Anolis sagrei: one gene and its partner. The protein of the gene in region 1 purifies or fractionates together with the protein of each later gene. This does not show direct contact. Links are inferred from orthologs where the notes say so. Each region holds a gene or a part of one and is shown in the gene's direction. Other genes may lie near its edges.

What was found. The genes of interacting proteins can lie anywhere in the genome.
Region 2: the proteins of FTSJ1 (region 1) and WDR6 purify together in Homo sapiens (affinity purification with mass spectrometry; 3 studies listed by BioGRID and IntAct, with this or other methods). This does not show direct contact. The link is inferred for Anolis sagrei from reciprocal best matches to the Homo sapiens genes FTSJ1 and WDR6.

The regions. Positions count from the first base shown.
Region 1 is NC_090022.1:179,132,376-179,140,451, forward strand, and holds the start of FTSJ1 (tRNA (cytidine(32)/guanosine(34)-2'-O)-methyltransferase), read left to right. Parts: upstream 1-4,775; 5' UTR 4,776-4,879; intron 4,880-6,846; 5' UTR 6,847-6,866; coding exon 6,867-6,987; intron 6,988-7,698; coding exon 7,699-7,768; intron 7,769-7,870; coding exon 7,871-7,973; intron 7,974-8,076. Other genes in the region: GPKOW (G-patch domain and KOW motifs-containing protein), read right to left, coding at 311-417, 509-648, 885-1,021, 4,442-4,611. UniProt on the Homo sapiens protein: Methylates the 2'-O-ribose of nucleotides at positions 32 and 34 of the tRNA anticodon loop of substrate tRNAs. Requisite for faithful cytoplasmic translation.
Region 2 is NC_090022.1:28,501,606-28,509,833, reverse strand, and holds the start of WDR6 (tRNA (34-2'-O)-methyltransferase regulator WDR6), read left to right. Parts: upstream 1-4,794; 5' UTR 4,795-4,851; intron 4,852-7,983; 5' UTR 7,984-8,045; coding exon 8,046-8,112; intron 8,113-8,228. UniProt on the Homo sapiens protein: Together with methyltransferase FTSJ1, methylates the 2'-O-ribose of nucleotides at position 34 of the tRNA anticodon loop of substrate tRNAs. Required for the correct positioning of the substrate tRNA for methylation.

The DNA.
Region 1 (8,076 bases):
AGATTTTTTTCTAAGCACTGACTACAACCAATTCATTCTGTTGAATCTCTTCTGAGAAGTGACTTGCTGTTATAAAAATGTCACAAGTGGTCTAGTTACCCATATGCATCCCTTCTTTCCTCTGCCTCCCATTTTCAGAAACTTCGCACCTAAACTTTTTATTTTATATTTGTTCACTGCTAGAATTTAGACTGTGATATGTTGAGGCAATAGCCTACCTTTTCTGCTTAAATGACTTGAAAAATTGTGGTATAAAATGTATTATTGTTATTTCTAATACTATATCCTGCAGTACTTAAGAGATACTTACTGCTTGAAAGTGCGACCAATGCCCTCGCCGGCCTTCCAGCCCATGCCCTTCAGCATGGCAATACCATAGGCTTCCACTGGTACCTCTTCATAATCTGCTGCAGTTGACTACCAAATAAAGTGAGAAAAGAAGAGGCATTAAGCCCTCTTTGCCAGAAGCTCCAAAGGTCGAACCTGGTGAATCCATCCCAACACCTACCGATTCTGGGCGGAGGCTGACATCCACTTTTTCTCCATCCTCAAAGCCATCAGGCACTTTGTTCTGCATGAGAAGGGGAATAGCAAATGTGGGATCTGGCTTGGTGCCACTCTCCCATTGCTCTTGTGACTTCTTGGATTCTAAATATGAAGATGAGTGAGAAAGTGTAAGCTAAAGTTGTCAGATTGGCAAGAAATATGAAATCATTCATATTCGCAGTACTGTTGAGGCCTCCACACCCAACCAAATTAGTCCACTTGACCTTTTGTAATATGGTTAATTGAAAAGAGAAACAGTAATTATATCCCTGTACTTGCTCTCAAAAAAGGAAAATGGTGCAAAATTTAACTAAGAGGTACAGCTAGGCTGTACTCACCTTCTATAAGCTCTCGGATTGCTTGAGCCTCGTCACCATTGATGGCATCTGGCTCCGGAAGGGGTGCTGGCTTTTTCCACTGGTTCTTCTGGATGAGAGGAATGACAAGCTCTTTCGGCTGTGGGGCTGGCCGGACACTTCAGAGGAAAAAACATGCACCCATTTAGAACCACAGACAGTGTAACTCTACCTGCCTAAAGAAACCAATTGCAAAGAAAACAAGAAGCACCCCAGTGACTATATTCATGTCCACATGCAATTATTTCATGCTAAATTGGAGAAGAATTGGCTTGTTTTTTTTTAAATCCCACTTTTCTCTCAGAGGATGTAGGATAGTTACATTGAACTAAAGAAACCTGAAACCAACCTGAAACCAAGCAAATGGAGGCAGCAGATTCATAGTATATGGCCAAACCGGAGACTCTCTCTGCAGATGTGGTTGGATCACAACTCTCATTAGTCCTACCTAACATGATTGATACTGTGTACTAAATGCAGTCTCTGAGTAACAGACATCCAACTTACAAATGATTCACAGTTAAGAAAGGGGGTGAGACAACAGGAAGTGAGGGAAATCTACCCCTTGGAAGGGAAATTCACTTCGGTAAGAGTTATCATGGGAGAAAGAGCTTTTTCTCCAATATCTGTTTCCATAACAAGCCAATTTTTCCAAAATCTAGTTACCACAGGGTCAGAAAGTGAAGTGAAATCTTCTTAACAGGGGCATAGACAGCCAAACAACCACCACAGGGGTCTTAACCCTTCCCCATGCTATTTAAAGCATGTGTATTTGTGTGCACGCATGTATATGTATATGTGTGCACACACATACATATACTGTATACATATTTGGCTGGAGTTACAGTTCTGTTTCCGCTTACATACAAATTCAACTTATGAACAAATCTACAGAACCTATCATGTCTGTAACTCAGGGACTACTTGTATAGCATCAGATACTCTACAGCTGGGGTCCTCACACTTTTTAAACAGAGGGCCAGGTCACAGTCCTTCAAACTGTTGGAGGGCCAGATTATAATTTGGAAAAAAAACATGAATGAATTCCTATGCACACTGCACATATCTTATTTGTAGTGCAAAAAACATTTAAAAACAATACAATAATTAAAATGAAGAACAATTTTAACAAATATAAACGTATTAGTATCTCAGTGGGAAGTGTGGACCTGCTTTTGGCTGATGAGATAGGATTGTTGTTGTTGTATGCTTTCAAGTAGTTTCAGACTTAGGTCAACTCTGAGCGACGGCCGGGTAAATGACCTTGGAGGGCTATATCCGGCCCCCGGGCTTTAGTTTGAGAACCCCTGATCTACAGCATCACAAATATACACAATTGGCACTAGATAAGCCAGCTAATAAATGCAGTGAGCCTTCCTCCTTTAGAGGCCTTTAAACTGATGTCAGATGGGCATCTTTCAAAAGTGCTTCCGTTATGTATTGAGTGCTGCACCTTCCATGCTTAGTATTCTATGGTTCTAAGAATTTGCCATCTCGATCCAGATCTCTAGTAATAGACTTATATGTACCAATGAATTGTGTGCACTTAGCAAGTAAACTGTACTTCATGTTATAATACATTTGTTAGCCGAAAGCAATGGTATTCCCCATAGTCACCTACGGATGTGAGAGCTGGACCATAAGGAAGACTGAGCAAAGGAAAATAGATGCTTTTGAACTGTGGTGTTGGAGGAAAGAGCTGAGCGTGCCTTGGATTGCTGCTGTGTTTTTCAGTGTTTTTATGAGTGACGGTCACTTGTTGGCCTGATAGGTGTATTCTGTCCAAATTTGGTGTCAATTTGTCCAGTGAGTTATGTTAATCCCACAAACGAACATTTCATTTTTATTTATATAGATATACCCAGGGCCATATAAAGGTTTGTTGGCTGGAAAGGATTCCTCCAGTCCATCCTCCAGGAAATAAAGCCCGACTGCTCATTGGAGGGAAGGACAGTAGAGGCCAAGATGAAGTACTTTGACCACATCATGAGAAGAAAGGAAAGCTTGGAGAAGACAATGATGCTGGGGGAAACGGAAGGAAAAAGGAAGAGGGGCCGACCAAGGGCAAGATGGATGGATGGGATCCTTGAAGTGACTGGATTGACCCTGAAGGAGCTGGAGGTGGTGACGGCCAACAGGGAGCTCTGGCGTGGGCTGGTCCATGAGGTCACGAAGAGTCGGAAATGTCTGAACGAATGAACAACAACAATAGCCGAAAGCTGTCAACAACTACAATCTGAACACTAGTAAGTCTCTAAAGAGTGTAATTTTGACAGAGCCAGCCTGCCTCATTGTAACACGGTTTCTGTTCCTGGGTTATCAATGTAACCCAGCGGTGGCCGGGAGAGCTTTTGCACAACTAAAACTTGTGCGCCAGCTGTGCCCGTACCTTGGGAAGTTGGATCTGGCCACGGTGGTCCACGCTCTTGTTACATCCCGATTAGATTACTGCAACGCACTCTACGTGGGGTTGCCTTTGAAGACTGTTCTGAAACTCCAAATAGTCCAGCAGGAGGCAGCGAGATTGCTCACCGGAGCGTCATACAGGGAGCATACCACCCCCCTGTTGTGTCAGCTCCACTAGCTGGCGATCCAATTACAAGCACAATTCAAAGTGCTGGTTTTGACCTACAAAACCCTATACGGTTCCGGCCCAGTGTATCTGTCCGAACGGATCTCCCTTTACGTCCCACCTCGGAGTCTAAGATCTTCTGGGGAGGCCCTGCTCTCGACCCCGCCTCTATCACAAGTGAGGTTGGTGGGGACGAGGAGCAGGGCGTTCTCAGTGGTGGCCCCCCACCTGTGAAATTCACTCCCCAGGGAAATTAGATCAGTGTCATCCCTCCTTTCCTTTAGGAAAAAATTGAAAACATGGATTTGGGACCAGGCATTCGGATAATCTGGCAGATAAAGAAAGGACTTTGACGATGGACAGGAATTGACTAATGAATGGAATTATGGAACTCTGAAAGACGAATGCTGAGCATGAGATTAGTTTTATTGATGTGTTATATACCGACTGTTTTAACTGTGCTAATTGTTTTAATTATGGTTTTGTACGTTATGTGTATTTTGTGTCGGCATCGAATTGTGCCTTTTTGTAAGCCGCCCTGAGTCCCCCCTCGGGGGTTGAGAAGGGCGGGCTAGAAGTACTCGAAATAAATAAATAAATAAATTTCCTAATTGGGTCTATCATAAAAACATGGAAAAGATTATTAAACTGCAAAGACCTTGCACTGGGGCATCTTGCAACACATTTGCTCTAGTTTTTCAATGAATATCTCAATAGAGGATCGACCAATTCCACATAGTTTACGGCAGCCACAAAAACGAAGTTTCTGGAGTAGAACAACTACCTTCAAAGTAAGTACTGCCCATTTAAACATTGAAATAACACTGTCAAATCCTTGAATTTAACAACATTGAGACGAGGCAGTTAAAGCGGTGTCGAAGTGCGCTCATTCCACAATGTAGCTGCGCCTTGAGAGGCGCCCCCTGCTCCTAGGCCCAAGCTGGTCGAGAGCAGGAAGCCGGCCTACCTTTGCAACTCCCGTCCCTCGACGGCTGAGAGGAAGTCGGGCTCCTGCTTCGCCTCGCCGCCATCCTGCCCGGTCACCACCAAAAACCGCCTCCGCCCAGTGGTCCGAGTGAAGCCGAAAGAGACCGGGGCCGGCGGAGTGGCCGCTGACTTCTCTGCTCCTTCCGCCATCTTATTTTCCCCTGCCTTGCCCCGCCCCCATCGCCACTTACGTCGTTGCGTTGCATCATGGGAGACGAAGTTTTAGAGACTCCCGCTTCTTTATCGAAGTTCTGAAACAGAGGCGCCTGAGGACGACAACTCCCAGGATGCAATGCGGCAACAGCACTTCCTTCCGGAGCCGGCCGCACATAAGTCATGTTGCGCATGCGCTTCTTCTCTTCCACGCTTTTCTCTGCTCTCTGAAGATAACAATCGAGCACTGTCTGAATTTACACTGGTAATTATAGAGACCTTTGCTTTTTCTTATTCGGTTTGCAGATTTATAAAGAGATCATCGTTTATGGATGTCTCCACTGGATACCCGATGTCCTTCCGTTGTCTCGGTTTGTCAGGAAAACTCCTCCCATTTTTTCAGATGCTTTTAAGGCCCCCTGTCATATAATCCAGATTACCAAAGAAGATCAGCCACATTAGCTGCTTTGAACTGGATTATATGAGTCTATACAGTCTGGAAGGGGGGGGGCAGAAGACAGTTCCATCTTGTCTCCTGTGGTTTACTTATATAATATATTGTATATACATATATTTATAATATTGTAATGTAAAACAATATAATACTAATAATAATACAATATAATAATTATATATTTTATATTACATGTCATATTACTAATAAAATTACAATATAATGGTAATTATAGTATATATATTAAAATGCTCTGTGCATAATGAGTACCTTAAAAACAAAAGAACCAATTACACCAAATTTGGCAACAAAACATTTCACAACACAAAGAGTGACCATCACTCAAAAATTATGATTTTTTCATTTGGGAGTTGTAGTTGCTGGGATTTATAGTTCACCTACAATCAAAGCGCATTCTGAACTCCATCAATGATGGAATTGAACCAAACCTGGCACACAGAACTCACTTGACCAACAGAAAATATTGGAAGGGTTTAGAGGGCATTGATCTTGAGTTTGGGAGTTGCAGTTCACCTACATCCAGGGAGCACTGTGGACTCAAACGATGAAAGATCTATGCCAAATTTGGCATGAATACTCAATATGCCCAAATACGAACACAGGTGGAGTTTGGGGGAAATAGACCTTGACATTTTGGAGTTGTAGTTACTGGGATTTATAGTTCACCTACACAGAGCATTCTGAATCCCACCAACGATAGAATTGGCCAAACTTCCCACACAGAAGCCCCAGGACCAACAGAAAATACTGTGTTTTTCTTTGGTGACCCTTTTGACACCTCCTCACACACACACACACCTGGGGTCCCGACCCCCAGGTTGAGAAATGCTGCCTTAAGGCCATCCAGTCCAACTCCTTTCACCAGGGCAAGAAAATATAATCAAAGCCCTTCTGACAAAGAGCCATCCAGCCATAGATATAAATAGATAGATATGATCCACACACAGATATAGTATCATAGATTTGAAAAGGACCCCTAAAGAAGAAAAATTATATGTTGCATGTTCTACAGTAGGCAAACCAGACCATCTCCACATCAACACTGGCAAAGAAACAGCAAGAAATATTGTTTACCCACAAGCATAAAGAAATTACATATATTAGAAACCAACACTTTCCCGTTACTTTATTTTCCAGATCAGCAGACTGGGCCACAGCAACCCGTGGCAGGTGAAAGTTAGTAATATATAATACTGACATTATACTATGCTAATAATATATATTGAATGTATATATATCTTGTAAGCCGCTCTGGGTCCTCTTCAGGGTGAGGAGGGTGGCATATAAATGTCATAAATAATAAATAAATTTTCTATAGCAGTGTAGAAGGGGTAATTCCACACGGCTGTATAACCCAGAATATCAAGGCAGATAATTCACATCTGCTTTGAAATGGGTTATCAGAGTCCACACTGCCATATAATCCAGTTCAAAGCAGGTAATGTGGGATTTTATACAGCTGTGTGGAAGGGGCTTTAGCCAGTGGTCAGAGAGGTTAGGAACTTTTGTCTAGAAACACATGTTTTCCATTCCTATAGTGTGGGGGTTTGATAGGCTGTCTGCTCTGATTGTGCATGGCAAGGGGTGGACTGGATGACCCACGTGGGCTCTTCAGCTTTATTATTCCTTGAACCATCTTCACTTTTAACCAATATGGATGCCTTGATTTCATTGATTATAATAAGCCAATGCTGCTGCTCAATTCATAATTCTTGCTGACATAGTAGTCAATTGTTTTTCTTCTCTCTCACATCCAGGACATTTCATGTAAGGGAAGATGGGACGTTCCTCTAAGGACAAACGGGACATTTACTACCGCTTGGCGAAGGAGGAAGGCTGGCGAGCTCGCAGCGCCTTCAAACTTCTCCAACTGGATGAAGAATATCATTTGTTTCAAGGTGAGCCCCATCATACAATTGGAATTCATCTATCCAGAATGTGTGGGGTGAAACATTTCAGTTGTGCATGGGAGTGGTACAATCTTGCAGATGTTCTTGTACTGCAACTCTGATCAATCCTAGCCATCTTAGCCAAGGAGGACTTTTATCTGGTAGGATAAAAGTGATGGGAAGTTAAGCTGCAAGAAATAATCAAATTTACTCTGCCGAATAGCTGTCAGTTTTGGCCCTCCATATGTTTGGGACCTCAACTTCTAGATTTCCTGAAGGTCCAAAATATCTGGAGGATCAGAGTTTGAGAATCACTGGTCTAGACCACTATTCTTAAACTGTGAGTCCCAACCTCAAATGGGGTCCCCTTTAGCTCAATATTGGGATCACAAAAAAATTGGAAAAAGGTTTCTGAATGCCACCCATTTTCACAAATTTGCAGTGTTTACAGTGGACTGTGCAGAAATCACTTCAAGCTTGGCAATAGAACACTTCCTTTGAGCATATACAGAATACTGTTTGTTTGCCATGGAGATAATATTTTGGGGCTCAGAAGCAAGGCTATCATTTCGAAATTTGAGCAAACTTGGAAACCTTCCTTTTTCCCCTACTATCTTTTTTCAGGAAAGAAACCCATGAGTTGTACTTCCTAGTCTCATATTGCAGTCTTCTTGCCATGGCATCCCCTTACCTTTCTTATTCCCTCTTTTCTCTCTCTAGGTGTCTCAAGGGCTGTGGATCTCTGTGCTGCTCCTGGGAGCTGGAGCCAAGTTTTGAGCCGAAAACTGAAGTAAGCAAGTCACTTTGTTGTAGTGTTTATGGGGGACTACCACCTTATAGGAGATAACCAGAAATTCATCCTCAACACACACACACCCTTTTTTTTCTACAGAGGAGAAGGTGCTAAAAATGAAGATGTCAAAATAGTGGCTGTAGATTTGCAAGCCATGGCTCCCTTGTCTGGAGTTATTCAAATTCAGGGGGACATTACCAAGGTATTGTGTTTCCAACCCAATTCAAAATCCACCCTACCTCTCCTTGAATTTAAGGCCTACTTAATAGCAACCCTTTGGCCATTATAACCCACCCCATCACTTC
Region 2 (8,228 bases), about 150 Mb from region 1:
CAAGTCAAACATAGCCCACCAGCTGAGTATATTGTGATCTGGCAGAAGCTTAACATTTCTTTCTGTCCTCTGTCATCCCAGACAGTAGACAAAAGTTAGAGGTTGGGTTGCTGTAAGTTTTTGGGCTGTATGGCCATGTTCCAGAAGCATTCTTTCCTGATGTTTCGCCTGCATCTATTCATAGATGCAGGCAAAATGTTAGGAGAGAATGCTTCTGGAATATGACCATACAGCTCGAAAAACTTACAGCAACCCAGTGATTCCGGCTATCAAAGCCTTCGACGATACAAAAGTTAGAGGTTGATCAAAATCCGGGAAACCTATGTTTAACTTAGTGAGTCACAAGCTGTATAGGTCTGTGGCAAAATTATTGCGCTTTATAACTGGGTGAAGTTAATGGGGCATGTTACCACTCCACAGTCAAATTGTAGTTCCCATCCTTTGGTCTAAGTATTTTGTAGTTCAGCTTCCACAATTCCTAACAACTGGTAAGCTGGCTGGGATTTCTGGGAGTTGAAGTCCAAAAGAACCGGAGGATCAAAGGCTGGCAACCACTGAACTAGAGGAAGAGATGCCTGTCAGCCTTCTTTAAGTGAAAGAAGCAGCCCTCCCAGTCCCCAAACATGTGCCTGTAGACATCACCGACTGAATGCAATTTATGTTCATGAATTTATGATCATACACTTTAATACACTTAGTTTGCAAGGTGGGGTGGGAATCTTGAGATCCTCCAGATGTTGTTGGACTGCAACTCCTCGAATTTGTTATCTCTGGTCTGAGCTGCTGAGAGTTGCAATCCAATGCAGGGGGTGCATAATTCCCATCCTTGCTGCCTGGGACAGGGATGAAGTCACTACTATTTTGATAGGTTATTGTGAGGATGAGTAATCTTGAAGGTTCTTGTTTTTCCAAGTAATTCCAAGGTTCCTCAAATGTCATCACATAATCATTTTAGCAGTTTAGTAAGTCTAAGCAGATAAGTCTGCAAACCCTTTTTTTCGTGTCAGGACCAACTTGAGAAACTGCAAGTTGCTTCCAGTGTGAGAGATTTGGCCATCTGCAGAGTCATTGCCCAGGGACATCTGGATGTTTTGCCATCCTGTGGGAGGCTTCTTTCATGTCCCCGCATGGGAAGGTGGAGCTGACAGAGGGGAGCTCACCCCGCTCCCCGGATCTGAACCACTGACCTTTCAGTCAGCAATCCTGCCGACAAGGGTTTAACCCATTGCACCTCTGGGGACTCCATAGCCTATTGAAGTCTGTCTAATAAAGTGGTTCTCAACCTGTGGGTCTCCAGATGTTTTGGCCTTCAACTCCCAGAATCCTAACAGCTGGTAAACTGACTGGGATTTCTGGGAGTTGGAGGCCAAAACACCTGGGGATCCACAGGTTGAGAACCACTGGTCTAATAAATCTGTTAGCCCGTTGAAGTACTGTCTAATAGCAGGAAACTGTATGCTGTCTCAGACTATGGAGGAATTTTCTTCTCTGGAAGTTTTTTAAAAAGTTAGATGGCCATCTGTTGGGAGTGCTTGGATTGTGTGTTCCTGCATGGCTGAATGGGGTGGGACTGGATGGCCCTTGGGGTCTCTTCCAACTCTCTGATTCTAGACTTGGCTGAAAGGCCCTGCCTCACTTAGTACTACTGAAGTGCAAGCAAGTTGAATGCAAAAGAGATTTCTCTTCGTTGCCGTTCTTTCTGAACTAGGGCCTTGTATTTCTTTTGTGTGTATGTGTTTGCCCTAGAGCAGGCATTCACTTCTCAATTATGATATTTCCACATTACTAGCTAGTGATATGTAAACATGTAAGGGTTTTCTATTGTTTGAAGAAGCCAATAATTGGGTAGAAGTGTGTTGGCACTTTATGATTGTAATCCAAAAATACAGAAGTTCTCCTGAGGCCAGAAAGTAGCATCGATACAATGGCTTGCTTTGCCCAAAGGCATGAGATACGGACCCAAACCCACAACCGAAACCTCTTGCTGACCGTCGCTAGTCCGAGTGCCCTCACGTTGCTGGTTGCATTTATTAATTAAGTGATCAGCATTTATTTTGGTTGTTACCGTGTGTGTTCTTGACACCTTTGTATTCCTAAGTTATTTTGCTTCCTTATTTAATATTTATTTTATTTATTTATTATCCCATGCACAGACGTCAGGCTGTCTATCCTGCCAATAAAAAATTGGAAACCCAGTGTTGTCTGTTCTGTTGTTTTGAGCTCAAAGGACACCATGACTGTTCCTCAAAGACTTGCTTTATTAGACGTTCAGTGTGTAATGTTGCCAGTCTTAAATGTCAAAATACAAGCAACAACCTCTGCTGCCCCATGACATGATTTGTATGTGCTTTTTAAAGAATATGATTACACTATGTAACATAATTTTTGTTCTTGGGTTATAAATGTCATTTTCCTAATTGGTTCTATCATTTAAAATATGGAAAACGTTTATTACACTGCAAAAACATGGTTTTTGTGGGAAATCCTGCAGCACATTTTGCTATAGTTTTCAATGATTATTTCACAGACTCTCAACCAATTCAACGTAGTTTGTGGCAGCCACAAAAATGAAATTCATGGAGTAGAACTATTTTCAAAGTTAGTACTGCAGAATGAAATAGGAAATTACACTTGCAAACCCGGAACAGATTTTTTTTTTCAAATTTTCTTACATAGTGTTAGTGATGTGATGTCCACTATTAAAAACAACAGGCAAGCCATCATACTCTTTAATAATAATAATAATAATAATAATAATAATAATAATAATAATAATAATAGGATTTAAAGATCAAATTGGCACAAGCCAGTAAAGGTTGTTCCAGTGGTGACTGGCACACTGGGTGAAGCTCTTGAACACCTTGGCCTGCACTTATAAACAATCGATGCTGGCAAAATTACCATCTGTCAGCTGCAAAAGGCCACCCTACTCGGATCTGCACGCATTGTTCGCTGATACATCACACAGTCCTAGACACTTGGGAAGTGTCCCATGTGTGATCCAATAGAAAGGATAGTATAATGATCTTGTTTGCTGTGTACTCATCTTGTGTAAATAATAATAATAATAATAATAATAATAATAATAATAATAATAATAGGAGGAGGAGGAGGAGGAGGAGAGTTCCTGGGAGAAATTGAGAGCCAAATTGACAAAAGAAAAAACATGGCTGTGGCTCCCAAATGGAACTTTAAAAAAGGAGATAAAGGAGGACCTGATTCTGGCAGCCCAAGAACAAACCATTAGAACCAATGCCATCAAAGCCAGAATTGGAAAAGTCGATGACAGATCCCAAGTATAGACTCTGCAAGGAAGCAGATGAAACAATACATCACATCCTCAGCTGCTGCAAGAAGATCGCACAGACGGACTACAAGCAGAGACGTAACACTGTTGCTCAGATGATTCATTGGAACCTGTGCCACAAATACCATCTGCCTGCGACAAAGAACTGGTGGGATCACAAGCTGGAAAAAGTTATAGAGAATGAACACGTCAAAGTACTCTGGGACTTCTGAGTTCAGACTGACAGAGTTTTGGAGCATAATACTCCTGATCTCACGATCATGTTAAAAAACAGTGTGGATCTCCGATGTTGGAATCCCAGGTGACAGCAGAGTTGAAGAGAAACAACTGGAAAAGCTAAGACAATATGAAGATTTAAAGATCAAATTGCAAAGACTCTGGCACAAGCCAGTAAAGGTAGTCCCAGTGGTGATGGGAACACTGGGTGCAGTGCCTAAAGACCTTGGCCTGCACTTAAACACAATCAGCACTGACAAGATTACCATCTGCCAGCTGCAGAAGGCCACCTTACTGGGATCTGCACGCATCATTTGCCGATACATCACACAGTCCTAGACACTTGGGAAGTGTCCGAAGTGTGATCCAATACAACAACCAACAGAGATCTTGTTTGCTGTGGACTCATCTTGTTATGTTTCTAATAATGATAATAATAATAATAATAATAATAATAATAATAGACAAACAACTGGAAAAGTTGACACAGTACGAAGATTTAAAGATAGAACTGCAAAAACTGTCACAGGTCAGTAAAGGTGGTCTCAGTGGTGATTGGCACACTGGGTGCAGTGCCTAAAGACCTTGGCCTGCACTTAAAAACAACCAGCGCTGACAAAATTACCATCTGCCAGCTGCAAAGGGCCACCCAACTTGGATCTGCACGCATTATTCGCTGATACATCACACAGTCCTAGACACTTGGGAAGTGACTGATGTGTGATGCAATAAAAAGGCCAGTATAGTGATCTTGTTTGCTGTGTACTAATCTTGTTGTGTATCTGTTATGTATCTAATAATAATCTTGTTGTGTATCTAATCACAATAGTAATGTTTTATGTAGGTGTCTCTCATCCTAATAATCTGCTTGTGTATCTAATAACAATAATAATGTTTTATTTAGGTGTCTTTACACTATAGAATGAATGCAGCTTGACACCCACTGATTTTAACAGGTGTGTGTTAATTGTTTTAATTATTAATATTTTAATATTTTAATGTATTGTTGATTGTTTTATTATGATGACACTCCCCCCCCCCCTCGGGAGTGAGAAGGGCGGGGTATAAATATAGGAAATAAATAAAATAAATGTAGTTAAAGTGATATCCAACTGCATTCCCTCTTTGCAACAATGCTTCTGCTGCACCTTTAAAAGCTCCTCGTCCCGCCTCTCCGGGTCTGAACGCCCGTCGAATCACAGCGCAAGGATGAACGACCTTGGGAGACCCAGCGTCCAATCACATTCCGCGTTGGGATGAGAACTGGAAAAGAAGACTCGCGATTGGCTCGTGAGCTGCTTTCGCCAGAGGAGCGCGCGCCGGGCCAGGTAACAAGCGCGTGGGGCCTTTTAAAGGGGAAGGGGCGCTGCGAGGAGGACCCCCCCCCCTTCAGGGTCTTAAATTGCCCTTTGGCTCTGGGCTTGTTTCCAGACTATACTTGAGCCCCTGTTTCGTTTCCTGTAAATGTAAAGGGACTCTGGGTTGCAAGGGTGCAGAATTAATACAGTTTGGCACCACCAATGACTGAATGCTATGGTATTCTGGGAGTTGTAGTTTTGCAAGGCCTTTAGGCTTCTCTGTACCCAAAGTACAAATCCCAGAACTCCTCTGACTGTGAGCCAATCTGGCAGGGTCTTGGTTGTGTTTTGTTTTGGAGCAGAAGGACCACATTTTGGGAATCTATCAAGCATGGGCAGACTTGGGCCCTCCAGGTGTTTTGGACTTCAACTCCCACAATTCCCAACAGCTGTGCTTCTTGTAGGTTACAGCACAGTCCAGGATAATAGTCCAGAAGCAACTGCTGACTACTTCTTTAACTCTAGATCACTGCTTCTTAAACTGGGATCCATCCCCAAGTGGAGTCCTCTTAGCTCAATGCTGAAAAACTTGGCAAAGGTAAAAGGTTTCTGATCATCACCCATTTGCACAAATCTGTTAGCAACAAGGGGCAGTGTTTATAGTGGACTCTGCAGAAAATGCTTCAGCTGTACTCCACCAAAAAGATAATCAGCCTGTTTAGCTAGTCTTGCAAATGCTGGTTTAGTATCAGGAAATATTTGATTTCTGTACCTAATTTACATAACTATATACCTGGGCTCATGTGAAAACTTCTTTATGGTTTTTAATGTAGATGTTTATTTTATTTGTATGTCTGCTTATGTGGCATTGAATTGTTGCCTACTTGTAAGGCGCAGTGAGTCCCCTTCAAGGTGCAAGAAGGCGGGGTATAAATATAGGGGTTTGTTTTTTTTGTCGTGTCAGGAGAGACTTGAGAATCTGCAAGTCACTTCTGGTGTGAGAGAATGGGCCGTCTGCAAGGACATTGCCCAGGGGACGCCCAGATGATTTGATGTTTTTATCATCCTTGTTGGAGGCTTCTCTCATGTCCCCGCATGAGGAGCTGGAGCTGATAGAAGGAGCTCATCTGCCTCTCCCCAGATTTGAACCTGCAACCTGTCAGTCTTCAGTCCTGCCGGCACAGGGGTTTAACCCACTGCGCCACCAGGGGCTCCACCAAAAAGATAATCAACCTGTTTAGCTAGTCTTGCAAATGCTGGTTTAGTATCAGGAAATATTTGATTTTTTTACCTAATTTACATAACCATATACCTGGGCTCAAGTATTTATTTGTCGTGTCAGGGCAACCAGTCAATTGTATTACATTTCTAACAGAACAAAGCAAACAAAACAGACAAAGTACAGAATTGTGAGTTTGGTAGTTGATTAAATGTCCTTTGACCAGTATCTGGCCACTTGGAGTCCTTCTGGTGTTTCTGCAAGAAGGTCCTCCATTGTGCATGTGGCAGGGCTCAGGTTGCATTGCAGCAGGTGGTCTGTGGTTTGCTCTTCTCCACACTCGCATGTCGAGGATTCCACTTTGTAGCCCCATTTCTGAAGGTTGGCTCTGCATCTCGTGGTGCCAGAGAACAGTCAGTTCAGCGCCTTCCAAGTCGCCCAGTCTTCTGAGTGCCCAGGGGGGAGTCTCTCATTTGGTATCAGCCATTGGTTGAGGTTCTGGGTTTGAGCCTGCCATTTTTGGACTCTCGCTTGCTGAGGTGTTCCAGCGAGTATCTCTGTAGATCTTAGAAAAGATCTAGTAAAAACTTCTCAGGCAGATGTTTTTTACCCTTATGGTAGATATTTATTTTATTTGTATATCTGCTTATGTGGCATTGAATTGTTGCAGGGTAGAAGTGTCTGAAATAAATAAATAAATACTTGTAAGGTGCTGTGAGTTCCCTTCAAGGTGAGAGAAGGCGGGGTATAAATATAGTAAATATAGCAAATATAGTAAATGGTCTGGTTGCCCCTGACATGATAAATGAATGAAAAAATATAGTAAATACTGATAAATAAATAGTTTAAGAATAGTTGTTTGCTGTGTACTCATCTTGTGTATATAATAATAATAATAATAATAATAATAATAGGATGAGGAGGGGAGTTCCTGGGAAAAATTGAGAGCCAAATTGACAAAGAAAAAACATGGCTGTGGCCCCCAAATTGAACTCTGAAAAAGGAGATGGAGGGCCTGATCCTGCTCTAGATCATAAAGGGGGATGTGAGTACTCTAGCTAATGTTGAACTACAATTTCCATTATCACTGACCATAAGCTCTGCAGGTTGGGACTGATATGAAGAGGGCCCGAGCTTCCTCTCCTCTAAATTGTTCTTATTTTCTAAGGCGATAAACAGCATATTCCTTAATCCAATCTTTTTTGAAATCCAGAATCTCCATAACCTTTTGGAGAAAAATGTCATTCCCAACCATTTGAAAATAATAACCTTTTTGCAAAAGTATGATCTTCCAAAGAGAAGCCAAAAACCTCATTTGAGTAAAATCTTCTCTTCAGTGGTATATAATCACATGTACTTATGCAAGGCAATTTGGTTTCCAGTTTTTAGACTGATAACCCGGTTGTCTCTCATCTGTTAGGAACAGAGGTTATGCCAATACACAAAATATAGCAGTTCTTGGGTGCACAAAAATACCTCTACTCTCCCATAAAATATCTTGTTTCTATATCATGCTCTCAAGATTTTGTTAAAAGTGATATATTTGGTTTACTCATATCCTTCATGTATTCAGCATACAGGTACATAGCTTGTTAATCCAGTTACAGATAGGTCTAAAAGTAGTTTCTCTGTGCATATAACACAGGGCATCTTTCTTACAATCAACAGCATCATGAGTTTGCTCGTAACAGTCCATAGTCTAATGGTGTTTCTGCTCTAAAATGGAGACTGAGCTCTGAGCAGTCCCAGATCTGGAGCCCCTCCCACAACCTCAAGAAACATAGAGTAAAGGGAAAGCTGCATATCAAAACATACAAATATAATACAGTAAACAAACCAAATCCTATACAAACAAATTACTAGTGTGATATTGAAGAAGGTTGCTATTTTCAACAAATCTGAATCAATGCATATCTACAACATTGCCACCTCTCTCTCCTCAGACGTCTGCATGTCCTGAGAAAGACAACTATCCAAGGTCCTCTCTTTCCCTCCTTCGGGCGCAATGGAAACAGAACTGCTCCTGGCCCCTATCACTGCTTTGGAGATTGTGGGAGATCACCTTGTGGCAGGTAGGTATCCTCTGAATCCATGTCGTGGTGGCCCAGAATGTCCTGGCAAGTCATAGAGTCGTAGATTTGGAAGAGACCCCAAGGGCCACCCAATCCAACCCCATTCTGACATGCAG